Oryctolagus cuniculus: one gene and its partners. The protein of the gene in region 1 interacts with the protein of each later gene in a biochemical or structural test. Links are inferred from orthologs where the notes say so. Each region holds a gene or a part of one and is shown in the gene's direction. Other genes may lie near its edges.

Evidence for each region.
Region 2: the proteins of PRKN (region 1) and ATXN3 form a complex in vitro, tested with the Homo sapiens proteins (4 studies listed by BioGRID and IntAct, with this or other methods). The link is inferred for Oryctolagus cuniculus from reciprocal best matches to the Homo sapiens genes PRKN and ATXN3.
Region 3: of the proteins of PRKN (region 1) and MFN1, one has a biochemical effect on the other in vitro, tested with the Homo sapiens proteins (3 studies listed by BioGRID). The link is inferred for Oryctolagus cuniculus from reciprocal best matches to the Homo sapiens genes PRKN and MFN1.
Region 4: the proteins of PRKN (region 1) and ABL1 form a complex in vitro, tested with the Homo sapiens proteins (2 studies listed by BioGRID, with this or other methods). The link is inferred for Oryctolagus cuniculus from reciprocal best matches to the Homo sapiens genes PRKN and ABL1.
Region 5: of the proteins of PRKN (region 1) and PINK1, one has a biochemical effect on the other in vitro, tested with the Homo sapiens proteins (12 studies listed by BioGRID, with this or other methods). The link is inferred for Oryctolagus cuniculus from reciprocal best matches to the Homo sapiens genes PRKN and PINK1.
Region 6: of the proteins of PRKN (region 1) and SEPTIN5, one has a biochemical effect on the other in vitro, tested with the Homo sapiens proteins (2 studies listed by BioGRID). The link is inferred for Oryctolagus cuniculus from reciprocal best matches to the Homo sapiens genes PRKN and SEPTIN5.
Region 7: of the proteins of PRKN (region 1) and MFN2, one has a biochemical effect on the other in vitro, tested with the Homo sapiens proteins (2 studies listed by BioGRID). The link is inferred for Oryctolagus cuniculus from reciprocal best matches to the Homo sapiens genes PRKN and MFN2.

The regions. Positions count from the first base shown.
Region 1 is NC_091436.1:6,000,026-6,004,541, forward strand, and holds the start of PRKN (E3 ubiquitin-protein ligase parkin), read left to right. Parts: upstream 1-1,501; 5' UTR 1,502-1,629; coding exon of another isoform or gene 1,630-1,636; intron 1,637-4,516. Other genes in the region: PACRG (parkin coregulated gene protein), read right to left, coding at 913-1,068. UniProt on the Homo sapiens protein: Functions within a multiprotein E3 ubiquitin ligase complex, catalyzing the covalent attachment of ubiquitin moieties onto substrate proteins. Substrates include SYT11 and VDAC1.
Region 2 is NC_091451.1:37,338,541-37,342,560, reverse strand, and holds part of ATXN3 (ataxin-3), read left to right. Parts: intron 1-448; coding exon 449-534; intron 535-926; coding exon 927-993; intron 994-4,020. UniProt on the Homo sapiens protein: Deubiquitinating enzyme involved in protein homeostasis maintenance, transcription, cytoskeleton regulation, myogenesis and degradation of misfolded chaperone substrates.
Region 3 is NC_091435.1:100,466,322-100,471,125, reverse strand, and holds the start of MFN1 (mitofusin-1), read left to right. Parts: upstream 1-1,759; 5' UTR 1,760-1,841; coding exon 1,842-2,026; intron 2,027-2,753; coding exon 2,754-2,872; intron 2,873-4,804. UniProt on the Homo sapiens protein: Mitochondrial outer membrane GTPase that mediates mitochondrial clustering and fusion. Membrane clustering requires GTPase activity. It may involve a major rearrangement of the coiled coil domains.
Region 4 is NC_091432.1:233,496,482-233,500,501, forward strand, and holds part of ABL1 (tyrosine-protein kinase ABL1), read left to right. Parts: intron 1-1,581; coding exon 1,582-1,671; intron 1,672-1,908; coding exon 1,909-2,055; intron 2,056-3,461; coding exon 3,462-4,020. UniProt on the Homo sapiens protein: Non-receptor tyrosine-protein kinase that plays a role in many key processes linked to cell growth and survival such as cytoskeleton remodeling in response to extracellular stimuli, cell motility and adhesion, receptor endocytosis, autophagy, DNA damage response and apoptosis.
Region 5 is NC_091438.1:150,126,670-150,129,899, reverse strand, and holds the end of PINK1 (serine/threonine-protein kinase PINK1, mitochondrial), read left to right. Parts: intron 1-1,839; coding exon 1,840-2,100; 3' UTR 2,101-2,730; downstream 2,731-3,230. UniProt on the Homo sapiens protein: Serine/threonine-protein kinase which acts as a sensor of mitochondrial damage and protects against mitochondrial dysfunction during cellular stress.
Region 6 is NC_091452.1:27,463,217-27,467,702, forward strand, and holds the start of SEPTIN5 (septin-5), read left to right. Parts: upstream 1-1,551; 5' UTR 1,552-1,823; coding exon 1,824-1,904; intron 1,905-2,128; coding exon 2,129-2,197; intron 2,198-2,501; coding exon 2,502-2,598; intron 2,599-2,739; coding exon 2,740-2,826; intron 2,827-3,040; coding exon 3,041-3,164; intron 3,165-3,261; coding exon 3,262-3,396; intron 3,397-3,681; coding exon 3,682-3,799; intron 3,800-3,933; coding exon 3,934-4,035; intron 4,036-4,271; coding exon 4,272-4,368; intron 4,369-4,486. UniProt on the Homo sapiens protein: Filament-forming cytoskeletal GTPase. May play a role in cytokinesis. May play a role in platelet secretion.
Region 7 is NC_091438.1:156,486,563-156,490,582, reverse strand, and holds part of MFN2 (mitofusin-2), read left to right. Parts: intron 1-1,016; coding exon 1,017-1,170; intron 1,171-1,397; coding exon 1,398-1,465; intron 1,466-2,005; coding exon 2,006-2,127; intron 2,128-4,020. UniProt on the Homo sapiens protein: Mitochondrial outer membrane GTPase that mediates mitochondrial clustering and fusion. Mitochondria are highly dynamic organelles, and their morphology is determined by the equilibrium between mitochondrial fusion and fission events.

The DNA.
Region 1 (4,516 bases):
GAACATCAGTTTGCACAGCAGCATGGCAACCTGGCCTGAAGGTCCCCCGCTATTCAGGTCCATTCATGTACTTTAAGGAGCTGGTTTAGGAAGATGGCACGACATTTGCAACAAAGAGGTAAAACAAATAATGCGACAGGACAGCACCACTCTTCATTTAACAGACGACTTAGCGGATAATGCACCAGATCCTCCCAGCGGGTGAATTTCATAGATTTGAATCCTGCACTTACTATTTGATTATTCGTGGCTACCTGTTTTCTCAGCAAAACCTGACTTAGGGTAGCAAATTAAAAACTATGTAACAAATAAGAAGGTTTTTCAAAATAACCTGGTGCGTATTGTAAATATTTTTTCTTAATAGTATTGAGAATATAATTTTTTTATTACCGCAAACTATAGCAATGTGAATGGTATTAAAAGGCAGAGACACCTGAACTAAAGCTTAGATTGTTTCAAAGATCTTTAAAAGGCCTATGAGGGACAGTTTCCCATTTTGTAAGGTTAACCACTTTGTAAGAACGCTGATGGAGTAAATGCTAGGGTTCTCTAAGGAGTCGAGGTTAAACAGAGGCGTCCTAGTGTGGCTCACTGGATGGGTTTCTGTTCCCAGCTGTCTGTCAGCGCCTGTCAGCAGCCGCAATTTGACGATTTCTAAGGGCCCTCGGCGGAGCGGGGCTGGTTTGGATGGGTAGGGGCAGGGGTGCTTTGCTTCGTGTCACCAGCTCAGGACATACTCTGGCCTGGCCCAGCAGCCACGAGGGCCTGGGCAGATGCTCACCCGTGGGCGCACGCCATCCCTGGCCCGGGAGCCTCGGCACCTGGCCTGACCTGGGCCATCCCAGGCCCATCCCAGGCCACCAGCCTCTACCTCTCGCGTCCCCGGCCTCGGAGCGAGCGAAGGGCACTTACGACTGAGTTTTTCATCATGGCTTTGACCGTGAAGCCCTCAGACACCAGGGCGTGAGGCTGGTGCACCGGGAGCGGCTGTTGCGCCAGCAGCTTGGTCCTCTTCGGCATCTTGTCTGGGCATTTGCTTAAGCTCAGGGTCTCTTTTTCTGCCACCATCTTCCTAGAAAGTGTCTTGTTCTCCTACAAAAGTGTAGTCAAACAGTCAGTGGGTTTTACGGCTGTGAGCAGGAGGTCGGGAACAATGTGGAAAGGCGCGTAAATGGTAGAATTTCAACCCCTCGTGGTGCCCAGGTCGATCCCGATGTTTGGCAGCTCCTAGGTGAAGGGAGTTTAGGGAGGCGAGGGGCGGGAAGAGGGCAGGACCGTGGCTAGAGCTGCAACAAGCTTCCAAAGGTGGGCCTCTCCGTTGCTAGGCGACTCGTCAACACGGCGGGCCGCAAGCCCCGCCCCGCCGTGACGTACGTTTCCTGGGCCTTCTGCCGGAAAGGGCGGCGGGCCGCCGCAGGCCTGAGGAGAAGCCACGCCCTCAAACTACGACTCCCAGGAGGCCCCGGGCCGCCTGCGCGTGCGCACTGCGACGGCCTGCCGCCGTGGGGGAGAGGGGCGGGGCGGCCTGGAGGATTTCACCCCCGGAGCGCCACTCGTGGGAGGCGCTGGCGGGAGCCGGGGAGCGCGTAGGCCCCTTCCTGCCCAGCAGCGTGCTCCTGCCCAGTGACCATGATAGGTACGTGGGTGCCTGCAAGGTACAGCCTGTCTGCGCCGCCCCCCGCGCCCCGGCCGCCCGGGACAGCCCGGACGCCCGGGGGCCGGCAGGTGACAGCTGTCAGCGGCGGAGAAAGTGTCCGCGCCGTGGTCAGCCCGCGCCGCCGGGCTCGGTTCCTCAGGGCCTCGCTGGGGTCCAGGAACCCGTGCGTGTCCTCCGCCCCCTGCCCGGGGCGCCCGCCGAGCGCGGCCGATGGCCCCGGGGCGGCCGGGCCGGGTCCGCCGGGCCGGGGCGCTCCGTGCGGTGGCTCCCCGCGGGCCGCGGCGGCCGCCGGCCGCTCGGAGCGGACGCGGAGGAAGCCCCGGCGAGGCCGGCGGGGAGCCGAGGAGACGCCCCCGGGTGGAGCTGGCCTTCCTGCTCCCTCGGATCTTTGGCGTCGAACTTCTGAGGTGAACGCCCGAGTGTGAATAGCGCAGAGACTAAGTCTGCCTTTCGCAAAAAAAAAAAAAAAAAAAAAAAAAAAGAAAAGAAAAAAGAATGAAGTAAGGAAAAAAACCCACAGAAATGACGTAGGTGCGGCTTTGTGAATGAAACTTCGGAAGTGGCTGTTAGGGTCGTGGCTCCACACTGCCAGGTGTAGATTAGCCAGCGCCTCTCGGGGTGGCGAGGTCGAAGGTCACTTCAGGGGCCATCCAGGGCTATTTAAAGGGTTTCATTGCTCTGGGTTAGCTTTGGAAGGTTTAGTAAGAGTCGTGGTTATTCTTGGCAAGTGTCACGGACAAAACACTTAGGTTGCGTGGAGAATCTGAGGTGGTTTACAAACAGTTCTTTCTTCCATGACAGCTGTTGTTTAACATGGTGCAAGTGTGCCTTGCAACATAAATGATAAAGTCCACAGTCCCCCTAAGAAACCTGCATTACCTATACAAACCATCTGCGCCACGTACAGTAAGTTGTTTTATTCCCTTAGATGCATTAACTAATTCTGTCAGTGTGTACATTTCAAGAAAAATCAGAAATGCCGGTTTTGAAGTTGGGTGTATTGAACAGTGTTAAAGGTAGGTAAAAGCAACCAAAAGGAAGCCCTGGCATGATGGATTTCGTTTTCGGGACTACCCTTTGGAGCCATGAAATACATCATAATCTTTACTCACTGATCAGTTGGAGAGCAAAACATTTATGTATTGGGAGATTTTCTTAAGATAACGGTAGCAGTGATTCTCGGAGCTTCCCCTTTAATACCTATGTCCTCCGAAACTGCTACACCCTCCTTAATGCAAATCATACTCTGCCACTTTATTTAAATTCTGCCTTACTTTTGAGGGAGAAGAAAAAGATAGGTTCCTGGAAAGGTAGGAGCAAGGGGACAAATTGTTACCCCAATCCAATAAAATTACTTTCCTTTAACTTTCCCATCTTGGCGTGGACTGTTTCAAAAGTGCTTACATTTCCCCCTCACGTTATGATTGATATGGTAAATGACCTGACCCAGACAGCTACAGAAACGTAATTCAATTGAAGTTGGTGAAAAAATTGTGCCTTTGTGAGCAGTATGGAGAAGGACTTCAAGAATATATGAGACGTATTGGAAAAGTTTAAGAACGTTCAAATTAGAATGTAATTTGACTACTTCTATTAGTAATATATTCCTACCTTCTTCAAAGGACCTTTGTATTTAAAATGAAACTTAATGGTGATATTTGTGAGATACCCTAAATGTCCTGTAGAACTGGATTTAGTTGTTTAAATAATAAATGTTTACGTGGTTGTAACGTTTTCAGTACTGATGTTAAAATTCAGTGTCTTACACTTTTGAAAGATTTTTGATTGATAACAAATCCAATAGTGAGAACACAGTCTCTTCTATACCTTGTTCAACTTAACATCTCAAAGAACTTACATGTCTGCATATACAGATCTACCCCCACAGTAATTCCTGCTTAGTCTTTTAATTATAGGCTACAATAGTTATGTGCATACTCTCCAATCAGCTATATTTTGTGGCCATATTTTTCCACTTACATAGGTAAGCATAAAGTAAAAATCTTAGTACGATTTCTGAATGATTTTGAAGTTTGCTAGATTTTTCCAAATTGCTCTGAAATAACTTGCCCTATTTTACACTCCTGTCTAAGCCCTCTACTATCACAGCAAGGTAGCAAGGAGCTGGTCTGCTCCTCTTAGGCTGAAAATTACCGAAAGACGTCCTTTCCAGGAGTGTCTCAGCTGGCAGCAGCAGTCCCTGACTGCATTTCCCCTGCCACCCACCTCCCTCTCACCCAGGCCCTTCAGTGCACAGCTGCTCCGCTGTCCTTGCTGGCCCCCTCTCTGGCAGGGTTCATAGCAGCACCTATTTGCCCACTGTGAGCCATCACATACTTTTCACTTTGTCTTCCTGATAGATGAAAAGCAGTATGTATTTTAATTTTTAAAATGAATTTACAAAGAAAAAAAGGCCACTCCTCGTATTATAATGCCTTCGTTTCACAAAAGCAGACCCAGTAATTGAGCACTTATTTGTGTCTGGTACAGTGTATGAAACATAAAAGTGCCCTGCCCTCGAGAATGTGCAGTCTAACTATTTGCCCATAAATATTTTTTTAAAGCTTGCACACTTATAGTAAATTTTAAAGTCTCAGAATTTATATTTCTAGTTGAATGTCCTGTGTACTGCTACTTGCCATTGCCTTTTAATAATTTTACATAAAAAATGACTCTTAAGTCATGAGGTCCAATTGTGCCAAAAAATAGGTTTTACCAAACTTTACACGGAAGATTTCATGTAATTATATGCAATTCTTCTTTGGGTCCCAAGTTCTAAGATGATGACCATATGGCCTTTACAATTTTTAGCCTGCTTCTGAGGATTGTTTAGAAGTCTGTGCTTTTTACTTCTTATGA
Region 2 (4,020 bases), on another chromosome or scaffold:
CTTTTTAAAAATCATAGCTGCCTTGGGGCAGCATCGTGGGGCAATGGGTTAAGCCACCGCCTATGCCAGTCCCAACTCGGATCCAGCTCCCTGTTAATGTACTGGGAAAGCAGCAGAGGATGGCCTAGGTGTTTGGGCCCCTGTCACTCCTACAGGAGACTGGATGGGGTTCTGGGCTGCTGGCTTCAGTCTGGCCCAGCCCAGGCTGTTGGAGCCATCTGGGGAGTGAACCAGCTGACAGATGATCGCTCTCCTTTTCTCTGTAACTCTGCCTTTCAAATAAATAAAGTGAAATCTTTTAAAAAAATAGCCTTTTAGGTAAATTTATATATGAAGTACAATTGCTTGCTCAACTAATATGGTTACACTACTTAAATTTGGAATAATGATTTAGTTCATGGAAAGTTGCTGTTTTTTGTTTGTTTGTTGTTTGTTTGTTTTTTAACAGGTTATAAGCAATGCCTTGAAGGTTTGGGGGTTGGAACTAATCCTGTTCAACAGTCCAGAGTATCAAAGGCTCGGAATTGATCCCATGTAAGATTTGTTTTTGTTTTTTTCTACATTTCTTTTCCTAAATTCAATTTTTTTTAAATTATAATTTTTTAAAGGAGAAAAACACGTTTCCCACCTCCCCTTTTGATGTCCGTGAGCACCTGCACATCGCTGGGCCTCCCAGACTGCGGTCGTAGTGCGGTGCCAACCCTGGCTGGCGCCTCGGGCGGCTTGTCTGGGCACCGCATGTCTGAGCTGCTGCACACTGGCTCACACCATCGTGCCGTTCTTCAGAGTCAGTGGCACAGAACTGCAAATGCAGTCCTGCATTAACGCAGATTGTGTATAATGCTTGCTAGTTGGCAAAATAAATGAACATAAACTCCTGAAATTTCAGCCTAATATTGTATATGTGTGTTTGTTTTGCTTTCCAGAAATGAAAAGTCATTTATATGCAATTATAAAGAACACTGGTTTACTGTTAGAAAATTAGGAAAACAGGTAATATTTCTCTTCCTTTTATCTTTTTTCTTATTCTGTCTTCCATTTGAAGTAGAGGGGATTGGTGCTTTTAAAATGAGGAAACTGACCAGTAATGTGTGTGTGTGTGTGTGAGGCACAGTTTCAGTTTTAATAGAAATTTCCCATTTTAAAAGATAGCATCAGTTTCCTTTATAAATTTATGTGTGACAGCTGTGTACAATTTAGGTATATCACAGGGGAAATTTCATATTTAAGGTAATACAAATATCATTACCTTTAAGTGGGATTTTATGTAATGAATATGTCCTGTCAGTTAATTATTAACTTTTAGAGATTTGTGTTTAGCATCATACTGTCACAAAGTCTGCGACAGTGTCAGGCACAAATGAAAACATTCAGCCATGTTTCCTTGATGTAACAAGATCATTCACAGAATTCCAAAATGCCATATGATAAAAATATATGCATATAAAGTAATGTCCATTTTAGAAAACTATGGAATATGTCTTGAGCAGACTTTTTTCTTTAAGCAGAATCATTTAAAATTCTTCTTATTAGAATTTTGAGTCTTTGAAAGAGGGCTGTGTGAGATTTGGCTAGTTTAATAGAAAGGAATGAACTGTTGATCATGCTACCACATGGATGAGTCTCAAAACTTGTTGAAAGCTTTGTTTCCTTTTATATAAAAGACCAGCCAAATTCAAACCAATCCTTAGGAACAGCAAGTGTCTGAACCAGCAGTTGCTGGCAGGTGAAGAGGGCAGGGAAGAGAGAGTCGGCAGTGGGCAGTGGCCACAGAAAGCTGGGCAGGGATGGACACGTTCACCTCCTTGGCTGTGATGGCTTCATGGGTGTATACAGACGTGAAACTTTTCAAGTTACACATTGGAAATAGGTTCAGTTTTTGCAGGTCAGTTACATGTATCAATAGAGCTGGTTAAAAAAACACAGTAAATAAAAAACAAGAAGGTGAAGTCAAGAAAACGTACATTGAATTAAAACATTAAAATAGAATTCAAGACAAAAATCTTACTGTAAATTTTTTTTTTTTTTTTTTTTTTGGACAGGCAGAGTTAGACAGTGAGAGAGAGAGACAGAGAGAAAGGTCTTCCTTCCATTGGTTCACCCCCAAATGGTCGCTATGGCTGGCGCACTGCGGCCAGCGCACTGCACCGATCCGAAGCCAGGAGCCAGGTGCTTCCTCCTGGTCTCCCATGCGGATGCAGGGCCCAAGGACCTGGGCCATCCTCCACTGCACTCCTGGGCCACAGCAGAGAGCTGGACTGGAAGAGGAGCAACTGGGGCAGAATCTGGCTCCCCAACCGGGACTAGAACCCAGGGTGCCGGCGCCGCAGGTGGAGGATTAGCCAAGTGAACCGCGGCACCGGCCCTTACTGTAAATTTTTAACTCTGCTACCTGGAAGCAGATTCATCTTCAGTGGGGGTTCCTCCTAAGGAGCTCTGAGCAGGTCAGGAGGTGGAGGGCAGAGGCTCAGCCTAGGCACCTGCCTGAGTGGGTGTTAACATGGGGAGAAGCCAGGCAGGGCACTGCCAAGGTAAGTTAACTTCTGGGTTTTATTTATACCTTCAAATAAATTATGATCCAGTGTTCTTTTCCTGTATAATTGCTAGACGTTTAGGTCTGAAGACTTAGATTCCACAAATTTCTTTGTGTTGATTTGTTAAATTTTGATCTTACTATTTTAAGAGGTTCTTCAAAATCAAAATTTCCCATCATAACTATTTTTATCTTTGACAAGTATAGAAGACATCCAATTTTACTTTATTGTCTGTGGTTCTAATTTATAGTTTTGTTTAAAATTGCATTTTTCACTATAGACTCTTCTCCGAGAGACCTGTATAATGAGAGAGACGACTGCAGTGTCAGAATCCAGCAAAAGTCATTGGTTATGATGTTGACAGTAACTTTTGAAACTTTTTGAATCTTGTGGGTTGAAGTCGGATCCTTAAGAGATAATGTCTAGATCGGGGTGGAGAACATCCAGCCCCCAGGCTCCACAAGACTGGCAAAATCACTGGGTCTGGCCTTGCCAAGGCAAGTGCAGGCAGCACTCAAAAAGCAATGAATCTGTGGCAGGCCAACTTTTGAGTCAATAATTTTGTGTGGTCCATGAATATTGTTAAAAGTATCCGAATAGCCCTTGACAGAAAACAGTTCCCCACCTGGCCCTGGTGGTGATGTTAATTATATGTGACAGTGGGTTAGTGATCTTTGTAAAATGAGTTGGTGACTATAAATTGTCTTCTGGAAATGGCTGACCACCTCAAACTGGAATATTTTGACCACAATTATCAGTAGTGGGAAAATTTTATGTAGTGTCATTTCTCTTCCATATCAGTGTGATGTGATTAGTAATGTTGGACTGATGGTTTGAAAAAAAGTTCAATTATCGCTATCAGTAAGAAGACTTTAAAGTACATTTGGTCCCTAACTTAGGATGGTTCCACTTACAAAATTTTTTCATATCTATTCATTTTTACTTATTTAAAAGGTAGAGAAACAAACAAAAATAAACAGAAAAAGAAAAAAACATTAAAAATAAAAAGCAGAGAGAGTTCTTTCATCCATTTGTTCACTCCCCAAATGGCTGCCATAGCCTGGGCAGGGCCAGGCTTGTGCTAGGCACCAGGAGCCAGGACTCATCCTCTGCCTCCCACAGGCATTGACAGGAAGCTGGATCTGAAAGCAGAGGCGGGAGTTGACCCCAGACACTTGGATGTGAAATGTGGATGTTGCAAAAGGCAGCTTAACCAGCTGCACCACGGTGCCTGCCCCACTTAGCATTTCGTAATTTTTTGATGCTGTGAAAGCTATCCATGTTGAATAGAAGCAGCATATTGAACGCTGGTCTTTTCCCCAGGCTAGCGATATGCAGTGCAGTCCTTTGTCACGGTGCCAGCCAGAGGCAGCAGGCTGAGGCTCCCAGACAGCCGTGAGGTCATGAGGGTAAACCCTGATTCTCAGTGCCCCGAGTCGCTGTACTGATGATGGTATCCTGTGGAGGCCGGGGCTGCTAACTGCAT
Region 3 (4,804 bases), on another chromosome or scaffold:
GAGAAAAGACATCCCAGAATATTTTCTTGAGCCTTGAATAGCAGCAGCACTTTGATAGGGTTGTGAGAAACAGTCTGGGGTTGTGATGCTGACCCCAGATTTGCAGTTTAAGGGTGTAAGGTGTCTGGCGCATAACAGATCTTCCCAGGCAGACGAATCAATTTTTTTTTTATTTTTTTTTTTTATTTTTGACAGGCAGAGTGGACAGTGAGAGAGAGAGACAGAGAGAGAAAGGTCTTCCTTTGCCGTTGGTTCACCCTCCAATGGCCGCCGCTGCAGCCGGCGCACCGCGCTGATCCGATGGCAGGAACCAGGATCCAGGTGCTTTTCCTGGTCTCCCATGGGGTGCAGGGCCCAAGCACCTGGGCCATCCTCCACTGCACTCCCTGGCCATAGCAGAGAGCTGGCCTGGAAGAGGGGCAACTGGGACAGAATCCGGCGCCCCGACCGGGACTAGAACCCGGTGTGCCGGCGCCGCAAGGTGGAGGATTAGCCTATTGAGCCACGGCGCCGGCTCAGACGAATCAATTAATTCACAGGCTTTTATTAGGATTCCGCTCCCGGGCAGGGTTCCCCGGTCCCAACAGAGCAACAGAGCGGGGGCCGGGGAAGTCGTGCATCAGATATTGGGAGAGCTTCTTTTATAGATTCAGGGCATGGGAGTTAAAGGTTGAGGCGGGTCTGATCCTCATGGTTGACCTTTAGGTACCCGCAGGGACCCTGACAAGGACTTTTCTTCCCCGGAAGTACAGGTAGGGACTTCTCCATTCCTGGAAGTACAGGCCTTCCTCCTTGCGGATCCCAAAGCTACCAAAGGGCAGCTTAACTACAAAGTTTAAGGATAGTAGCCAGGGCCAGCACTGTGGCACAGCAGGTAAAGCAGTTGCCTGCAGTGCTGGCATCCCATATGGGAGCAGGTTCAAGTTCCAGCTGCTCCAATTTCAATCCAGCTCTCTGCTATGGCCTGGGAAAGCTGCAGAAGATGGCCCATGCCTTTGGCCTTCTGCACCCATGTGGGAGATATGGAAGGAGCTCCTGGCTCCTGGCTTCAGCTCGGCCCAGTCCCGGTTGTTGCTGCCATTTGTGGAGTTAACCAGCGGATGGAGGAGCTCTCTGTCTCTCCCTTTCTCTCTCTGTAGCTGTGCCTTTCAAATAAATAAATTTAAATAAAATAAAAAATAAAAACAGTAGCCAAGGACACACCAAGTTTCAGGTCTGACGTGTAAAGTAATTACACACATACAGGGTGAGAGGTACCCCAGAGAGGCAATCACACAAACACAGATGTCCCTTCTGTCTCACGACGTCCTAACCCTACCTCACTCCACCTCCTTCTCCCTAAGGCAGCCATGACAGTCAGCTACGCCTAAGATGGACAGAGCTTTAGGGAACTTCGAAGTGAGAAGGGAGGAGGAAAGGAAGTTGCAGGGTGGAACGAACCACTATCCTGCCAAGAGCGTCCCTGCCCATAACAAGTTTTGCCTCTGCCCTCAAGAGAAATGGCGCCGGCATAGACGCGTTTCCGTTCACGGAACCAAACAGAATAGGAGAGGACCAGGGACCGGAAGTGACCGCCCTTTTGCCACTCCTCCTGCCTCCAGTTAGCTTATATCCTCTTTGGGGAGGATGAGGCAACCTGAGAGCTTGGATCGAGCTGTGGTTGCTGAGTGACAGTCGGAGTTGGGACCGTGTGAGTGTCAGCTGCTTCGACCGCTGGCGGGTTCGCGACTCTCGGGGTGACCTTCGAGCGGCCGGGGACAGGGGGCGGGGAGCCGTGAGCGGAGCGCTCTGTGACGAGACGCTGCCGCCGCCGTCCTGCTGGAAGGGAGCGAGCGAACCGGATGGCCAGCGGGGCCGGCGGCCGGCTCAGGCCCGCGGAGCCCACGATGCTGGAGCCCGGGGGTGGTGGTGAGGGCGGCGGGCCGGGCCGGGCCGGCGCGCGTGGGGCGGCGGCGGGGTCTGGCCCCGAACCTTGCGGGCGAGGCTCCCGCGGCCGTGTGTATGGCGTGGAAGGCCTCTGCCCAAGGTAGGTGTTCACACCGGCCGAACCGGGTCGTTGCCCACACCCTGCTTAGCCCACGCTTATCCCTTCGCGCCGTCCTCTCTTGACCCTCTTGGCAAGATCTGCCTTTTTCATGAGCCACATTCCACACGGACTAGGATTAGACTGGGGCGTAATGGTTTGTCCTTGGTGTGTGTTTTTCTGAGAAGCGGCCAGGGGCAGAAAAACTTCAACATTCACCCAAGTTTTTGGTTCTGCGGCCGGAAGCGTAAGCCTTGTCTCCGGCTTTGTTGTGATGAAAATGTCTTTCCAAACGTTAGTTTTACTTTGTGATTTTGGATTCTGGGTCTTTCCTCTGCATATCCCTTTCCACCCTCACAGAGCTCCAGGTTGAGAAACTTAGTTATTGTTTGCGAACTTTGCTTCTTGGTAGCTCAGTTCCCTGAAGTACTTAAAACTCACTGGGAGTCACAACTTCAACCACAATTAGTTTCATATTCACCAGAGGGAAATAAAGTAGAAACTTGGGCTAACAAATTTCGTTTATTTTAGTGAAGTGGCTTTGAATAGTAGTCTTTAATTGCCCGACTAAAACATTTCTCCCCGAAAAACAACTACCTAAATATATTTTGGCAGTTTAATTGCCTAATTTATTCCATTTGGGAGGTAATGACCTAGACGGTGTTAATCATTTACATGTAATTATCACTCTGTAATTTGTGCTTTTTTAACTTTATGTTTCTCCCTTTAGGAGCATAATGGCAGAAACTGCATCTCCACTGAAGCATTTTGTGCTAGCTAAGAAGGCAATCACTACAATCTTCGACCAGTTACTGGAGTTTGTTACTGAAGGGTCACGTTTTGTTGAAGGTTAGTTCTTAAGTTCTTAAAATGACTACTAGTGAAAATACATAAAGGTACTTTATTCTTTGAACTGTAGCTATTGGGTGCACACACATATAGGGCACTATGGTGAACAGTATGAGGGATACCAGAATGAGGAAAACCCATTTCTGTCCTACAAGAGACGAAGATTAAATGTTATTAATCACAACTAAGAAATAAATGCTTCTAAATAAAGTACTGTTTTAGCATTTTATTAGTAATTCGTTTACTCATGTCATCAGTAAACAGATTGTAATCATACTCACTTGAAAGATGAAAAAAACCAGGATGAGGAAAAAGTAAAGCAGGTTACCCAAGATTATACAACTAGAAAATGCTCAGATGAAAAACTCAGGCAGCCTGCGGTTAGCCATTATATTTGTCTCTCCAGCTTAGCTAAGCCAAGACCTCAGATCTATCTTTCAAGTAAGGCTGAGTTGCAGAAGGAAAAGGGCAAAAAGGAATTTTCATAAATTGAGTGTAACTGTTGAAACAGTTGAAATAGCAACAATGGGCAACGGTGGAGAGGAATGTCTTCCTAGGAAATGTTATTTTAGTTTTTTTTTTTTTTTTTTTAGATTTATTTTATTTGAAAGAGTGACAGAGAGGTGCCCATATGTGTCTGGCATTGCAGGCGATGGCTTAACCTGCTGTGCCACAATACTTTCCCTGTAGATAACTCTTGAAATTGTGTGTCCAGCAAGTATACAATGAAAAGGGAAGGATTCAGGAAAATTCTCAAGTGACAATGGGGAAATATTTGGTAGGTTGGTAGAAAACAACTTTTTTTTTTAAAAAATTATTTATATATTTGAAAGGCAGAATGACAGAGTGAGATCTTCCATTTGCTGGTTCACTCCCCAAATGGTCACAATAGCTGGGACTGGACTATATACAGGTCAGGCTGCTGAAATGTCTCCTGCGTTTCCCGTGTGGGTGCCAGGGGCCCAAGTACTTGGCCCATCCGCTGCTGCTTTCCCAGGCACATTAGTCCATAAGTTGGATCAGAAGTGTAACAGCTGGGGCTTGAACTAGTTCCTAACCCACTGTGCCACATTGCTCAGAATCAAACTTTTGTTTCCTTGTTCTTCCTAACCCTTCTATTGCTAGATTTGAATTCCTGTAAAGCTGGGATTTGCCTGGTTGTGTCCCTAGCACCAAACTTGACACAATTCCAGATTTTGTTGCTGAATGAGAAAGAAAGTACTGGTAGAATTTTTGAGTTTCTACTTTGGAAAGAATTTGAACTAACACATAACATTTACAAAATTTTGTTAAAAAAAATTGATGGGGATGCAGCACTGTTGCATAGTGGGTAAAGCCACTGCCTGTTCCTGTTCTGGCTGCTCCACTTCCGATCCAGCAACTTGCTAATATGCCTGGGAAAGCAGCAGAAGGTGGCCCAAGTGCTTGGGCCCCTGCACCCATGTGGGAGACCTGGAAGAAGCTCCGGGCTTCAGACTGGTCCAGCTTGGCCGTTGCCAAGTGGAGTGAACCAGCTGATGGAAGATTTCTCTTTGTCTCTTCCTCTCTTTCTCTGTAACTCTGCCTTTCAAGTAAAATTAATCTTTAAAAAAAATTGGTAGGAAATTAAGATGAAGTTAAATGTAATATCTTCTGTGTATTAAATAAGCACTGTGCTAGGAGTTAGTGAAATGGCAAATTTGATTTTACTGGTTCTAAAACATCAGAAAAATGTGAAAGAGACAAAGCAGATAAGAAGAATATCGAAGAGCAAAAATAAAATGAAAAACAAAAGTGAGTAATGACTTTCAAGACAAGTTTCTCCATTATTCACCAAATTGTTGGTAACATATTAATGTACTAGAAAAAATGTAAAATGAGCCGGGGGCTTCCTCTGGGTCTCCCATGTGGATACAAGGGCCCAAGCAGTGGGGCTGTCTTCCAGTGCTTTCC
Region 4 (4,020 bases), on another chromosome or scaffold:
GTGTGTGTGTGTGTCTGTGTGTCTGTGTATTCAAAAGATTGATTTATTTAAAAGGCAGAGGCAGAGAGAGAGGTCTTCCATTCGCTATTTTACTCCCCAGATGGCTACAACGGCCGGAGCTGGGTTGATCCAAAGCCAGGAGCTCCATCCAGGTCTCCACGCGGGTGCAGGGGCCCAAGCACTTGGGCCATCTTCTGCTGCTTTCCCAGGTCTTAGCAGAGAGCTGGATTGGAAGTGGAGCAGCCAGGACTTGAACCCACGCCCATATAGGATGCCGGCACTGCAGGCCGTGGCTTTACCCGCTACGCCACAGCGCTGGCCCCTGGATGTATATCTTTTTCACTTTCTTTAATGCTTGTGTGTTTGTTCATACATTGCGCACAAACGCTGCCTACCCAAACCTGGGTTTCTCCTCAGCCCTGAGTGCTGTGCTCGGAGGACCACCCCTCGGGGCGGGACTGCCCCTTCACTTCCGTGCCGTGGCATCACTCGTGCTCGTGTGGGCGTGTGCGCGTGCCTGTGAGTTAGTAGCAGGTGTGGGCTTTCCATGCCTGGGTTTTCAAGTCCCCTTCGCCCTCCTCCTATTTCATTCCATTGAACAATCCATTCATCCATCCAGTTCTCTATTGATGAGCGATTGATTGTTTTATATATTTGTTTGGTCTTTCCATTGTAAGAAAGACAGGAGTGGACATCCTTACACCTGTCCCTCTGCTCCTACACTGGTACTTTTGATAACTGCAGGCATTTTAACTTTTTTGAAAAAGATTTATTTATTTGAAAGGCAGAGTTATAGAGAGAGGGGGAGAGACAGAGAGGCAGGCCTTGCATCCATTGGTTCTCTCCCCAAATGGCCACAACAGCTGGGGCTGGACCAGGCCAAAAGCCAGGACCCAGGAGCTTCTTCCAGGTCTCCCATGTGGATGCAGGGGCCCAAACACGTGGGCCATCTTCCTCTGCTTTCCCAGGCACAAGTTATCAGGAAGCTGCCCTGGAAGCAGAGCAGCCAGGATCCCGGAGCTTGTTCAGGGTCAACCACATGAGTGGCAGTAGCCCAAGGACTTGAGCCTCTACCTGTGCCTCCCAGGAAACTGGATCAGAAGCAGAACCAGGACTCAAACCCTGGCACTGTGATGTGGGCCATGGGCATCCCATGTCACGTCTTAACCACTGCACCGAATTCCTGCCCGTCTGTCATTCATGTTAATTACCCAGTGCCGGCTTGTTTTAATTAGCGTTCTTTACTGATGCGGGCTTCCAACTTGGATAATCAGGAAGTGTAGTCGTTAGCTGCACCTCCCAGAGTGCAGTGGGAGAGTGCGTCTGTGGGTGCTGCTGCGCCTGTCAGCGTCTCTCTGGGCTTGGAGTCCCCGTTCCTGCCAGCATCTGACGCCATCCCAGTGTCTTCATGTCTGTAATAGGACACAGTGGCGATCGTCTGTTTCAGTTGTCACAGGAAACGATGCTAGCAGGGCTTGAGTGCTGCTTCGGTCTCCAGACTGTTCCTGAGGGTGCCGGCCCCGGCCCCCCGTGCTTGCTGGCGCGGCCTCACGGTGGCCTGACCTGGTCTCGTCTGTCTAGGTTGGCAGTGGAGTCCCTCAGACCGGCCCTCCTTTGCTGAAATCCACCAAGCTTTTGAAACGATGTTCCAAGAATCCAGTATCTCAGATGGTAAAATGTCCACCCCCAGGGGGCCTGTGGGTGGGGGGACCAGCGGGGGAGGTTGGCTTGGGGGCGCCCATGTGGGACTCCAGCCCAGGGCCTCGGCTTGCGGCGGGCAGAGGCGTTGGCGTCGGACGTCTGCGCACCTGTGCCTGTGCTGTAGCTCTGTGGAGATGACCACTCTCCTCCTAGTGGAAGAGCTGGCCCGGGGCTGACGCTGCTGGCTTTGTGTTGTGTGTGATTTAGAAGTGGAAAAGGAGCTGGGGAGACGGGGCGCACGGGGGGCCGCGAGCGCCTTGCTGCAGGCCCCAGAACTGCCCACCAAGACCAGAACCGCCAGGAGAGCCGCCGACGCCGCCGACGCGCCCCACTCCAAGGGCCAGGGCGAGAGCGGTACGTCTCCACCCACCCCGCCCCTTCCCTCTCCTGCTCCCGCGGGAGGCCCAGGGAGCGTCCACACCTGGATGGGAGACTGTGGGTGGGCCAGGCACGGAGGGCGGCAGCCAGCCTTGGAAAGGGGAGAGCTCTCCCCGGGGAGTCGCCGAGGAGCCATTGGCTTAGGCTTCGGCAGGTGGTGGGTGCCTGTCACGTGTGGCCCTCGGCACGTGTGGCTGCTCTCCCCAGGCACTCAGGACAGGGAGCGTTGCTGACCCAGCGGGGAGAGCTGCTCTGGGGGGCGCTGGCAGGAGAAGCGCACGGCCGCCGCGGCCTCCTGCTTCCTCAGGGTTCCTCTCGGCCTCCTGTGTGCAGGCTCTGCCCTGAGTTAGTGGTTGCCCCGAGCCAGCAGTCCTGGGTGGGCCAGGCAGCGGGGTCAGCACAGCCCGAGAGAGAAAGAGAGAGAGTGTGTGTGCGTGTGTGTGCTATACATGGCTGCACGAATGTGTGTACATTGCAGTGTGCACCCCAAAATATGCATGACATGAGAAATAAACCCAAAATGTAAGACTTTCTCTCCAGAGCCGGCTAGGCCTTCTTTTCACCCTGCTGTGGAAGCCGTGGCCTGTGGATGCCCTAGGACCTTTGTCCCTCACCCCTGTGTTGGGGGTCCAGGTGGTTGAGCTGTGGGGAGAGCCCCCATGGGAACATGTCGTGTACCTGGTGAAAGCCCAGTGGTGAACGGTCCTGCCCACCTGTGCCCGCCAGAGCCCCTCTGTGGGGCCTTCAGAGGCGCGTTCTCGCCCAGGCCAGGAGGGTTGCAGGCTGAGTCGCCGGAATTCCACTCTGCTCACCCCCCTTCGGCGGATTACGGTGGGGGTCCTCGGCCTTCTCTGACTCCCCACACCGCACTGCCCCGCCCCGAGTTCCAGGGCTGACACTGAATCCCTCCCAGCCACCAGGCAGGGAGAATCCAGCTCCGGGAAGATCTCTTACCCCCCACTCTGGGTAGTTAAGAACCATTTAGAAATGGTCAGAGGGCATCACTGTTTCCCACAGACCAGCGTGGTGGCTGCCCGCCGGGCTACTCCCCGCAGGCAGCACGGCCCCCTGTCCGGGAGCCAGCGTTCCGACGCGCCGTGTGGCCTTGTCCTTGCTGTGAGGGCTCTGCAGGGACGGGGCCAGGCCCTCGCCAGCTCCTGTCCACTGAGGCACCGGGGCCCTCGCCTGGTGGTGAGAGGTTCCAGGCCAGCGGCCGAGCCTCAGCCCCACAGCCCCACGCACCTTTCCTCCCGCAGCGCGGCCCGAGCTTTGCCTGTGCTCCGTTTGAGCCGGCAGCAGCAGGTGGCCGAGCTGGCGGGGCCCCGGGAGAGCGCAGGGGCAGCTGCGGCTCGGGGTCACTCACCGCTTCCTGTGCCTTGCAGATGCCCTGGACCACGAGCCTGCCGTGTCTCCACTGCTCCCTCGGAAAGAGCGAGGCCCCCCGGACGGCGGCCTGAATGAGGACGAGCGCCTCCTCCCCAAAGACAAGAAGACCAACCTGTTCAGCGCCTTGATCAAGAAGAAGAAGAAGACGGCTCCGACGCCCCCGAAGCGCAGCAGCTCCTTCCGAGAGATGGACGGCCCGCAGGAGCGCAGGGGCCCCGGCGAGGACGAGGGCCGGGACGTCAGCAACGGGGCGCCGCCCCTCGCCCCCTCAGACGCCACCGAGCCAGCCAAGGCCCCCAAAGCCAGCAACGGCGCCGGCGTTCCCAACGGGGCCTGCCGGGAGGCCGGGGGCTCGGGCTTCCGGTCCCCGCACCTGTGGCAGAAGTCCAGCACAATGACCGGCAGCCGCTTGGCGGCCGGTGAAGAGGAGAGCGGCGGCGGCTCCAGCAAGCGCTTCCTGCGCTCCTGCTCCGCCTCCTGCGTGCCGCACGGGGCCAAGGACGCAGAGTGGAGGTCGGTCACGCTGCCGCGGGACCTGCAGTCCACCGGGAGGCA
Region 5 (3,230 bases), on another chromosome or scaffold:
TACAAAGGCCCCATACAGAGAGCTGGAAGATTTCATTGGGGGGGGGGCCGGGGGGCGGAGGCGGGGGGAGGGGGAGGGCAAGCCACTAAATCAGTAGAGTTCTCAAATCCTTTTTAAGATTTATCTATTTGAGGCCGGCGCCGCGGCTCACTAGGCTAATCCTCCGCCTAGCGGCGCCGGCACACCGGGTTCTAGTCCCGGTCGGGGCGCCGGATTCTGTCCCGGTTGCCCCTCTTCCAGGCCAGCCCTCTGCTGTGGCCAGGGAGTGCAGTGGAGGATGGCCCAGGTGCTTGGGCCCTGCACCCCATGGGAGACCAGGAAAAGCACCTGGCTCCTGGCTCCTGCCATCGGATCAGCGCGGTGCGCCGGCCGCAGCGCGCCGGCCGCGGCGGCCATTGGAGGGTGAACCAACGGCAAAGGAAGACCTTTCTCTCTGTCTCTCTCTCTCACTGTCCACTCTGCCTGTCAAAAAAAAAAAAAAAAGATTTATCTATTTGAAAGTTAAAGAAAGGGAGATCTTCCACCTGCTGATTCACTCCCCAGATGACCGCCAACAACCAGCACTGGGCCAGGCCACAGCCAGGAGCCAGGAGCTGCTTCCAGGCCTCCCATGTGGCTGCAGCGGCCCAAGCACTCGCGCTATCTTCCACTGCTTGCCCAGGCCATTAGCAGGGTTGGAAGTGGAGCAGCCGGGACTCAAACCTGTGCCCATTTGGTGCCAGTGTCACAGCCTGGGGCTTTACCTGCTACCCTGCAGCACGGCCCCCAGAGTTCTGGAATTCTAACAGTTCTTTTCTTGGCTTTAATTGCCTTGTCACTGGGGCAGGTGTTGTGACACAGTGGGCAGTGTCCGCCTCCCGCGTCGAGTGCTTGGTGTCAGTCCAGGCTTCTCTGCGCCTGACAGCTCCCTGTAACGCATCCGGGGGCAGCAGATGATGGCCTGGCTACTCGGGTCCCTGCCACCCACATGGGAGACCCAGCCGTGGGCCTAGGCTCCCAGCTTTGGCCTGGCCTATGCCTGGCTACTGTGAGCATTTGAGGACTGAATCAGCAGACGGATCAGTCACTCGTGTGTGTGGGTGTGCTCTCTCCTCTCTGTCACTCTGCTTTCAAGTAAATAAACACAAGAGAGAGGCACTGAGAGCCAAGACAGATCTTCCTTCCACTGGTTCACTCCCCCAAGTGGCCACAATGGCCGGGGCTGGGCCGGGCCACAGCAGGAGCCTGGAACTCCGTGTGGGTCTCCCATGTGGGTGGCAAGTTCTTGGGCCACCTGCTGCTGCTTCCCAGCACTCGGGCAGGGAGCTGGGTCAGCAGTGGAGCGGCTGGGACCCAAACCAGCGCTCCTGAGATGCTGGCGTTGGCAGGCAGCAGCTTAACCTGCTGTGCCACTTCGCCGGCCCCCAGACAGGTCTTTTTTGAAGTCACTAAGGGGGAAAAGGATGCAGTTTTCAGAAATGCTTGACAATGGGACTCGTGGCTGATGGAAGCAGCCAGACCTAATCAGACGGGGACACTGCAGAGCAGATCTGGACGTTGTGAAATCAACATTGACGGAATACAGTCAAGTCTGAGCTGGGGCCAGCCTGGTGCACAGCCGAGGGACGCCTGCCACCAACCGCTCACGGCCCAGGGGAGGTGTCGGTGAAGGTTTAATAGTTAACAGCCCCACCTGGAGTGGTGAGGCCACACCCACCCCGGCGCACGTACACGTGTGCTACCCCCCCCCCCACCCCGTGCTGCACACATGGAGGGACAGCAGCCAGGATCTGTCAGCGGGGAGAGGGTAGGGCTGGGCAGCTTCGGGCTCCCGAGCCTCAGTTTCCCTTCCTGTCGCAGAGGCCGTCCGCCCGAGTTGCCGCCAACGTGCTGCACCTAAGCCTGTGGGGGGAGCAGATCCTGGCGCTGAAGAACCTGCAGCTGGACCGGGTGGTGGGCTGGCTCCTCCAGCAGTCAGCCGCCGCCATGCTGGCCGGGAGGAGCTGTGTGGAGACGAAGATGAAGGTGCTCTTTCTGGCCAGCCTGGAGTGTGAGGCGCTCTGCCAAGCGGCCCTGCTGCTCCGCGCATGGAGGGCGGCCCCGGGGCAGCTCTGCGCATAGCTGGGGACGACCAGGGAGCCTGGCAGCATCTGTGTGGTGCAGGTCTGTGCATGCTGAGGGTGGGCTCCTGTGTGAGCGGGGAGGGGGTCGGAGATGGATGGCAGGGGGCTGGGCAGCCACTGGGGAGGCCATGTTCAGAGAGTGGCCTCACCCCAGCTGTGTGACTCGGAACGGGCACTGTGAGCCGTGTGCACCTTGGTTCTGGCTAACAAAACTAGACACTGCTCTAAACGAGGGTGTGGTCAGCTTTCCACAGAGGGTCAGACGAACAAACACACAGGTGAACAGCAGGGCGCAGCCAGGCTGCGGAGGGTCCACACCGAAGGCAGCAGCTGTCCTGGCCAGTGCGGCTGTGACACTGGCCTCACCCACACAGGCCACCTGGGCAGAGGCGCACACTTGCATGAGGCAGTGTATTCGGTGGGAGGCCTGCAGGGGCTGGGGGTCGGGTGGACCACGCCCGCAGTCTGTGTCAACAGCCCGGTGTGTTGGAGAGCGCATTGCTCCTCCTGCTACCGCATGAATCCTGCGCAGCGGCAGGGAGAAACGCCGTGGGAGTTAGCTCTGGTGTTCTAGGCGTGCTGGTGCCCTACAGTGCAACATTAAATGCAGTTACAACTGCAGAAACGAGTGCGGCTGGACTGCATGTTGCTTCCGTTCTTACACCCTGATGTGAGAAGACTTCGCAGGGCAAGGTCACCGGGGAAGACTGCGATTTATGTGTTTTCTGGGAACACAGCTATTGCCTAAAGCAAGGTGGACGTCAAGGTCAGCCAGGCAAGCTGCCGCTCGATTTTGTATCTCAGCGGTCAGCACCCCGGCCGTGTATCCGCCCTTGCAAAGCCAGGACGTGGCCATGTCGTGGCTGAGGAGCAGAGCTCCGTCTCGGGCAGCAGTGAGAAACCAGACTCCGGAATGCAGCCGCTGGCGACAGGGACAGCACGGGCCGCTGGCTCGGGGGCAGCTCTCCTTTTATTTGCGACAAGCGCCCACGCCTGCAGGGTGTCACCCGGTAGCGCAGGCTGGAGAACCACACTGAAACAATTCCCTGCCCCCACCCCCATCTCCCGCTGAGGTAAGGCCGTGCGCTTCCCACGGCTTAAAAAATAAAAACCCCACCCCGACAAACC
Region 6 (4,486 bases), on another chromosome or scaffold:
ACAGGGGCTGTCACTCAGCTCAGAAAGCCCTGAGGAGTGTTGGTTCTGCATTGGGGCCCAGAGGTGGGGTGGCAGGGCTGCCCCAGGGAGTCCAGGATGGGCTTACCAGACCCTAGTAGGTGGTGGGACAGACCCAGTGGGAGTGGAGAGGGAAGACTCTCACCCCTCCCCCGAGCCTAGACCTCCCCAGAGGCTTGAGCTTTGCCAGTGGGGAAACTGAGGCAGCAGGCACACAACAAACTCCGCCAGACACCAGGGCGTGAGGTGCTGAGGCTGTCTCCCAGCCTGAAGCCCCAGCCAGGGCTTGTGTGCTAGGAGGAGAGGGTCCCCTGGGCCAGAGACGTCTGCCGTCTGGACGGTGCTGCTGGGCTGAGGGCTGTGTGAAGTGGACACTGGCAGAGCCGGAGCTGCAGCGGACTCTGGGCTGCAGAGGGCTGGCCAGGGCCAGGGAGCGGCTTTCTGTGGCTGCTGGGGGAGTGGCAACACGAGGTCCACCGAATGAAGGGCTCCCTTGTTCCCCAGCCGTGGGCCTGCCCTCCCCTCCAGGTGCCAGTGGCTGGAGGCCCCGGAGCGGGACCGGGGCCTGGACAGGGGGGCCCAGGCTGCTCTGCCAGGGGACGCAAGAAGGGAGGGTCTGTTTGAGGGAGGTAAGGGCCCCCTGCCGCTTGCATGCCGGCCAGGGGCACTCCGGTCCACCTAGAAGGGTTTGCTGGCAGCGCTCAGGCGTCCCCTGGCGGGGTTCCTGGTGTGGCCACACCAGGGGCAGACCCGAGCTGATGGGAATTCTCCAGCCCTTACTCCTGCATGGGTCAAAGCAGGCGGTGTCCCCAGGGACGGTGGGGGCGGGCCCCACTCCATCATCTTCCATGGGGGTTGCTCTGGGTGGCCTGCTGGCGGGGCTTCCAAGTTTGGAGTTGGACCGAGGAGGGTGACCCTTTCCTCCTCTCCCCCTCCCCCTCCCCCAAGCCGCCGCCGCCGCCTCGCGAGAGAGGTGGGCTCTGCCCTCGCCTTCTTCCCTGCATGGCGGGGAAGACTTCCCCAAATACGCACCCGCGCGCCCGCGCCCGCGCCCGCGCACGCGCATGGATGTTATCACCATGGGAAGGGGAGAGGGTGCGTCTGTGGGCACCCGGGAGGTGCAGCGACACCGCCCGGAGGTTTGCGGACGGCACCTGGGAGGCAAGCGCGGGTGCCGAACGGGGCCCGCTGCACGCGGTTGCGCGTGGGTCCCGGGAGGTACGCCAGCGCCCTCTGGCGGGCGGCACCGCGACAACCACAGACGCCCCCTACCCCCACCCCCACCCTCTCCGCGGGCCCGGGTCCCGCCCGCGTGGGCGTCCCGGCCCCGACAAAAGCCCCACCCCGACCTGCCCGCTGTGCTGACATCCCGACTTGAGGCCTCGCGGGCCCCGCGGGGCTCCCGGCGCACGCGGCGCCGTGGCCGCGCCCGCGCGCTCCGGCGCTCCGGCTCTCCGCCCCGCGGCCCCGATTCCCCGCGGCCGTTTCCCGGCGACGGCGGGCGGGGCCCGGCCCGCCGCCCCCCTGCCGCGAGCGCCGCGAAGCCCCGCCTCCAGCGCGGGTGCGGGAGCCGGGCCTGCCCCAGGCCGCGACGCAGCTGCCGGCGCTCGGGGGCGCAGCGCAGAGGCAGGGGCATGGCGTGGACCGCTGCCACGGGTGGGCGGCATCCCGGCTCCGGCCCTGAGTTTGCGTGCGCGCCGAGCGGAGCCGAAAACCAGGCTTAGGGGCAGTCCGGGCCGTGAGTCCCTCGCGAGTGCCCGGGTCCACGCGGCCGGGCAGGGTCACCAAGGGGGGGGATCGCCGCCATGGACTCTCTGGCAGCGCCCCAGGACCGCCTGGTGGAGCAGCTGCTGTCGCCACGGACCCAGGCCCAGAGGCGGCTCAAGGTGTGTGTGTGCGTGTGTGTGTGTGTGTGTGTGGACGTGGGGCAGAATGTGGGTCAGTGCGTGCGCGCCTGCCCAGCTCAGGACTGTGTGAACCTGGGGACGTGGCGGTGGCTGGCAGGGCCAGGGTCCGCCGGGGGGTGGGGGCTGGGACCCCGCTCCCGGGCGGGGGAGGCTCCTCGCCGCTGGCTATAAATAGCCCCTCTGCTCTGCCGCTGCCATTGCAGCCGCCGCCCCCACGGCTGGATCCGGGCCAGGAGGGGCCGCCTCCCAGGGCCCTGGCCCCGGAGCAGGGGGTGAGTGTTGAGGCTTGGCCTCTTCTTGGGCCCTGAGTGTGTCCCAGGCCAGGTGCCTTATACCCAGAAAGGGAGGACACTTGCCTGTCGCCATCCCCGCACCCGCACATGCAGTCTGGGGTTGGGGGGGAAGGGGTCCTGGTTGAGGTTGGGGAAGGGGGTGTCTGCCCACCTCCACACCTTTGCTGTTTTCACCGACCAGGTACCCCACTGCTGGCACTGCTGTCTCCTCTATCCTGTAGGCAACAGGGCGTTTGGTTCTCCCCCATACGCCCTCACCTGTCCCCCCCTTGCTCCCTCCTAGGACATCGACAAGCAGTACGTGGGCTTTGCCACACTGCCCAACCAGGTGCATCGCAAGTCGGTGAAGAAGGGCTTTGACTTCACGCTCATGGTGGCGGGTGAGTGGGCTGGGCTTGGGGTCCCTGGGCCAGCCAGGCTGCATCCTTGGTGGTGGTGGTGGTGTGGGCGAGTGTGTGTGTGTGTGTGTGTGTGTGCATGCGCAGATCTAAGCTGACCCCTTCACTTGTACCGGTGGGCAGGTGAGTCCGGCCTGGGGAAATCCACACTGGTACACAGCCTCTTCCTGACCGACCTCTATAAGGACCGGAAGCTGCTGAGTGCGGAGGGTGAGTGACCCACGGACCCCTGCCACGTGACCAGACACCCCCCCACACCACGAATGGCACCCTTCCAGGTCCAGCACCCTCTTCCTCAAACAGCATAGGTCTCCTGTGCAGGGTCGACAAGGGGGTGGCCCTGATGGCAGTCAGGCGGTGTGGCGGGGGGGGGGGGTCGGGGTAGCCCTCCCCCCTCCACACAGGGCCCCTCCCCCTCCCCCAGAACGCATCAATCAGACAGTGGAGATCTTGAAGCACACCGTGGACATCGAGGAGAAGGGGGTCAAGCTGAAACTCACCATTGTGGACACGCCGGGCTTTGGGGATGCCGTCAACAACTCTGAGTGGTGAGCAAGGGCCTGGTCCACCCTGCACCTCCCCTGGGAGCCTTCCCTGCCCGGCCGGCAGCCTGGCCTCATGCTGGCACCTTGCCCCGGCCCCCAGCTGGAAGCCCATCACGGACTACGTGGACCAGCAGTTCGAGCAGTATTTCCGCGACGAGAGCGGCCTGAACCGCAAAAACATCCAAGACAACCGCGTGCACTGCTGCCTCTACTTCATCTCCCCGTTTGGGCACGGGTACGGGTGTGCCGCCCCGCTGGGGCGTGGGCGGGGCCAGGCTGGGGGCGTGCGCAGGGGGCGTGACGGGACCAGGCTGGGCGTGTGCACGGGTACGGGTGTGCCGCCCCGCTGGGGCGTGGCGGGGCCCGGGCCGGGCTGGGCAGGGCCAGGGGGCGTGGCGGGGCCAGGCTGGGCGTGTGCAGGGGGACGTGGGCGGGGCCAGGCTGGGCGTGTGCAGGGGGACGTGGGCAGGGGCCAAGCTGGGCTTGTGCCATCACCGTGCCCCCCTCTCTCCACACGCAGGCTGCGGCCAGTGGACGTGGGCTTCATGAAGGCCTTGCACGAAAAAGTCAACATCGTGCCCCTCATTGCCAAGGCTGACTGCCTGGTCCCCAGCGAGATCCGGAAGCTGAAAGAGCGGGTCAGCCCTGCTGGGGCGGAGTGGCTCCCCAGGGACGGGGGGGGGGGGGCGGAGTTGGAGACAGCCAGGGCCACCTGGCCAGCCACTCCAGCCCGCCCCATCCGACAGCCCTGGGTGTCCCTCCACTTCCACAGATCCGGGAAGAGATCGACAAATTCGGGATCCATGTGTACCAGTTCCCCGAGTGTGACTCCGACGAGGATGAGGACTTTAAGCAACAGGACCGGGAGCTGAAGGTGAATGTTCCCAGAGCTCCCGAGGGCGGGGGCTCTGGGGGCCTCCCAGCAGCCAGAAGAGGGGGCAGGTACGGGGCACCTGCTGGAGCCTCGGCAACCGGGGAGGCACTGCTGGGCTTTGGGAGGCGGCGAGAAGCCAGCAGGCGAGGACAGCACGCTGGAGGGGCGCCCCCAGGCTGAGCCTCTCAGGCCTGAGCACCTGCCGGGTGGGCTGAGCCCTTGCTCCCTCCCCCCAGGAAAGCGCCCCCTTTGCAGTCATTGGCAGCAACACCGTGGTGGAAGCCAAGGGCCAGCGGGTCCGGGGCCGCCTGTACCCCTGGGGCATCGTAGAGGGTGAGCTGGGGCCGGGGAGGGTGGGGTGGGCTGGGGTAGGGCCCGGGAGGGGCAGGTCCCCTCGGGGTGGGCGCTGGCCCACCGCCCGCCGCCCACACCCGCCGCGCGCTCCTGCCCC
Region 7 (4,020 bases), on another chromosome or scaffold:
GGGCACAGGTGTTTGACTTCCCTGACTTCCTTTCATTGCCAAAGATTCCCCAAGTGTTCCCCAGGTCTCCGCTGGCTTTGGAAACGCTCCCCCACCCTTTCCTAGGTGGGTCCCTCAGTCAGCGCTCTCCCCCAGGTCGGGAAAGCAGCCCCAGCGCAGTGGTGGGCTCTGTTTGGGGCCAGGTGCTCCTTTTGTTCATAGGTTCTCAGTACTGACCTGGGCCGCGTAGGATGACGTCAGGAGAGAAGAGCAGAGATGGCTGGTTCTCACTGACAGTCACAGCTCACTTTATGAGCGTGAAAAGAAAGAGAGGGCAACAGATTAGCAGTGATGGCTTTGCTCGATCAAGTACGCACACCTGCGGGTCAGAGGCCACGTTCTGGCCTGCACGGGGCGTTGAGACTGCGGTGGGCTTCTTAGCCCTCCTGGTGACGCATCTCCTCCCCTGTGAGCTGGGCGTCCCGAGGGTGAAATCTGTTGGAAGCACCTGACGCTTGGTGGGCGTCTCCACTCGGCTCTCAGTGGGACCCCAGGATGTGGGAGCGAGGAGGGACTTTCTGTCTAAGGCCCAGGGAGGACTCGGCTGGTCAGAGCGCGAGCCCGGGCTTAGATTTCTTGCCCTGCGAGTGCCTTTCCTTCCGGGGCCCCCCAGCGAGGCAGGTGGGGAATGTGGGAGCGTCCCTGCTGTGTACACGGGTTCCTGCTGTGTACACGGGTTCCTGCTGTGTACACGGGTTCCTGCTGTGTACACGGGTCCCTGCTGTGTACACGGGTTCCTGCTGTGCACACGGAGAGTATCTGGCAGGCCGTGTTCCAGGAAACCCCCGGGGAGGACACGGGTTCCCCCAAGCACGGGGCTGGGGAGCAGCGGTGGTGGGAGACCTCTCACTGTGTGCACCCTGGCGCCTTTGAACCTCGAGTTGTGTGACTACACTGTATTCTAGAGAGGCGGTCCAGGGAAGGCTGCGGCTCCGTCAGAAGAGCCGGTCACATACACTCGCCTGTTTGGGCTCCAGGTGCGGCGGCAGCACATGGAGCGGTGCACCGGCTTCCTGGTGGACGAGCTGGGCGTGGTGGATCGCGCTCAGGCCGGGGACCGCATCTTCTTTGTGTCTGCCAAGGAGGTGCTCAATGCCAGGATCCAGAAGGCCCAGGGCATGCCCGAAGGAGGTAACTATGGGAACAGACAGCCTCCTCTTCCCTGACGTCTGAGGGTCTGGGCTCCAGCCAAGTCAGTCGGTAGAGAGTCTCTCTAAGGACAGGAAGCTGCAAGACCTGGAGCGAGGCTGTCTTGGCTGTCCTGCCGGTGTCCAGCCAAGTGCCTGCTGGCGGCGGCTTTCGGGGTGGTTTCCACGTGGCCTGTTTATCTCCCCACCGATGCCGTACTCTCCTCCCAGGGGGCGCTCTTGCTGAAGGCTTTCAAGTGCGGATGTTTGAGTTTCAGAATTTTGAGAGGAGATTTGAGGTGAGTCCTTTGGTGCTGGTGTCTGGTAATCCTGTGCCTTCTGAGCTCTCCCTTGCTGCGTCCAGGCAGTGAAAGGCAGAACCTGGCCCTTGGCTACAGGCCGGCGGCCCCCACCCCCCTCAGTGCCTGGCCCTTGGCTACAGGTGCCGCCCCCCCCCCCCCCCAGTGCCTGGCCCTTGGCTACAGGCCAGCGGCCCCCACCCCCTCAGTGCCTGGCCCTTGGCTACAGGCGCCGGCGGCCCCCACCCCCCTCAGTGCCTGGCCCTTGGCTACAGGCCGGCGGCCCCCACCCCCCTCAGTGCCTGGCCCTTGGCTACAGGCGCTGGCGGCCCCCACCCTCCTCAGTGCCTGACCCTTGGCTACAGGCCAGCAGCCCCCACCCTCCTCAGTGCCTGGCCCTTGGCTACAGGCCAGCAGCCCCCACCCCCTCAGTGCCTGGCCCTTGGCTACAGGCTGGCGGCCCCCACCTCCCTCAGTGCCTGGCCCTTGGCTACAGGCGCCGGCGGCCGCCACCCCCCTCAGTGCCTCTGCCTGTTCCAGGAGTGCATTTCTCAGTCTGCGGTGAAGACCAAATTCGAGCAGCACACGGTGCGGGCCAAGCAGATCGCGGAGGCCGTGCGTCTCATCATGGACTCTCTGCACATCGCGGCTCAGGAGCAGCGGTAAGAGCCCAAGGCTGCGGACGGGCAGAGAGGGCTGCCGAGAGGTGGTGCCCTCTGCCCCAGCCCAGGCCGCCAGGCCGTGCCCGGCTGGCAAAGCGCAGTCCCTGAGCTCCCGTCCAAGGCCCTTCCCCAGCTGCCAGAGCGCCTTAGAGCCACATGAACGGCCTGGCGAGGAGGGCGGCTGGGTGCCTGGGCCCCGTGGCCTGTGCAGCACAGTCGTGGGTGTCAGAGACCTCAGTCTGCACCTGTAGAGCGCGGCGGCTCTTCTCAGAGCCTGGACACGTGTTGTGAAGCCAACATTTTTACGAGAAACTTAAAATACAGCAAATAACAGAGAATGATATAGTACACTTGCTTCTTCCAACCAGAATTGACAATGTTTGCTTTATATTAAGTTATAGCAGTCTCACCTCCCACTGAAAAAGTACTCTTTTTTTTTTTTTTTTAAACATTTTTTTTTTCTTACTTGAAAGGTGGAGTGATAGAGAAGGAGAGAGAAAAGCAGAGAGAAAGGTCTTCCATCTGCTGGCTCACTCCCCAGATGACCACAAGGGTGGGGCTGAGCCTGGCACTGAGGTCTCCCACGTGGGTGGCGCGGGTCCCCTGCACTTGGACGTCTCCATTGCTTTCCCAGGCGCATTAGCAGGGAGCTGGATGGGAGCAGAGCAGCTGGGACGCAAGCCGGCACACGTGGAAGCCGTGTTGCAGGTGTGGCTTAGCCGGCCATGCCGCAGTGCCGGCCGCCACACGCTCCAGAAAAAAATTTTTTTTTGGTATGAGCAAACACTTATTTTACTGCACTTCAGTTATAAGAAAATAAGATTTCTAAGTGACTCAACCATAGGCAGTCCTTTGAAAGGCGCCAGCTCGCTGTGTCACTAAGATGGACCTGCTGGAATCTGATTGTTTTAAGTAAACAGAAGCGGGAAGAGTCGAAGGTTCGCTCGGATACAGCGTCAGGGTCCGCACTCTCCCAGCCGTCTCGAGCTGTGTCCTGGACGACGGGTGGCGGTGCCTCCTCGCTCTGTCGGGGGTCACTCTGGGCAGATCACTGCACTGGCTCTTTTCACCCGTTTTCTCCTTGGTCCTGGTTGGTCAGCGACTTGGTTATTTTTGCCAGGCTTCTTGGTTTTGAGTTTATGAATATTAATTAGTCCCAAGGTTCCACGTTCTGGGAACATTTCAGCAAAATTGACACAGTTGTAAGATTACCGTAAGCTGTATATTTACTGTTCACTTTAAGTTTTTGCAGGTGTCCCATGTATGGGATGGGGGGCATTTTCTTCTGGGTTGTTTCTGCTCTCTCTGCCTTCACACACCCCACTGCAGCGGGCAGCTGCCTGTGCACCCCCTGTGCAGCTGCGTGGACCCTGCGGGAGTCAGGCCTCGGGGCAGCTGCTCTGCGTGGACCCTGCGGGAGTCAGGCCTCAGGGCAGCTGCTCTAGGGTGGAGAGTCAGCCTTTTGGGTTTTACTTTGCTGCTCTCCACCACAGCTGTGCCCCGTTCCTCCTCCCAGAGGCGCTCCCTGTGGGAACTCCCATTTCCTTAGCTCTCGCCGGAACTTCAGACGTGGTCACTTGGGCCAGACTTCCCGGGGGAAAGTAGTGCTGCTTTTTATCGTTGTCGTGAGCGCTAGTGAGGTTGAGCTCTGGAACTTGTCCTAAAGCCCCTTCAGCACCTCCCCACTGTCCCTCCCACATCTTCCCGCAAGTGCAAGACCGCGAAGTGCAGTGGTCGCTGCGGTGTCTCCCTCCTGTCTGGGAAGGGGAAGGCCGTGCGCCGGATGTGTGGGTGAATCCTTGCTCGGGCCCAGTGGAGGGAGGAGACCCTTGCCTGTGTGCCCTGATCCGGCTTGCTGCTTTGCTTACTCAGGTGGGAAGGCAGCTCCTCTAA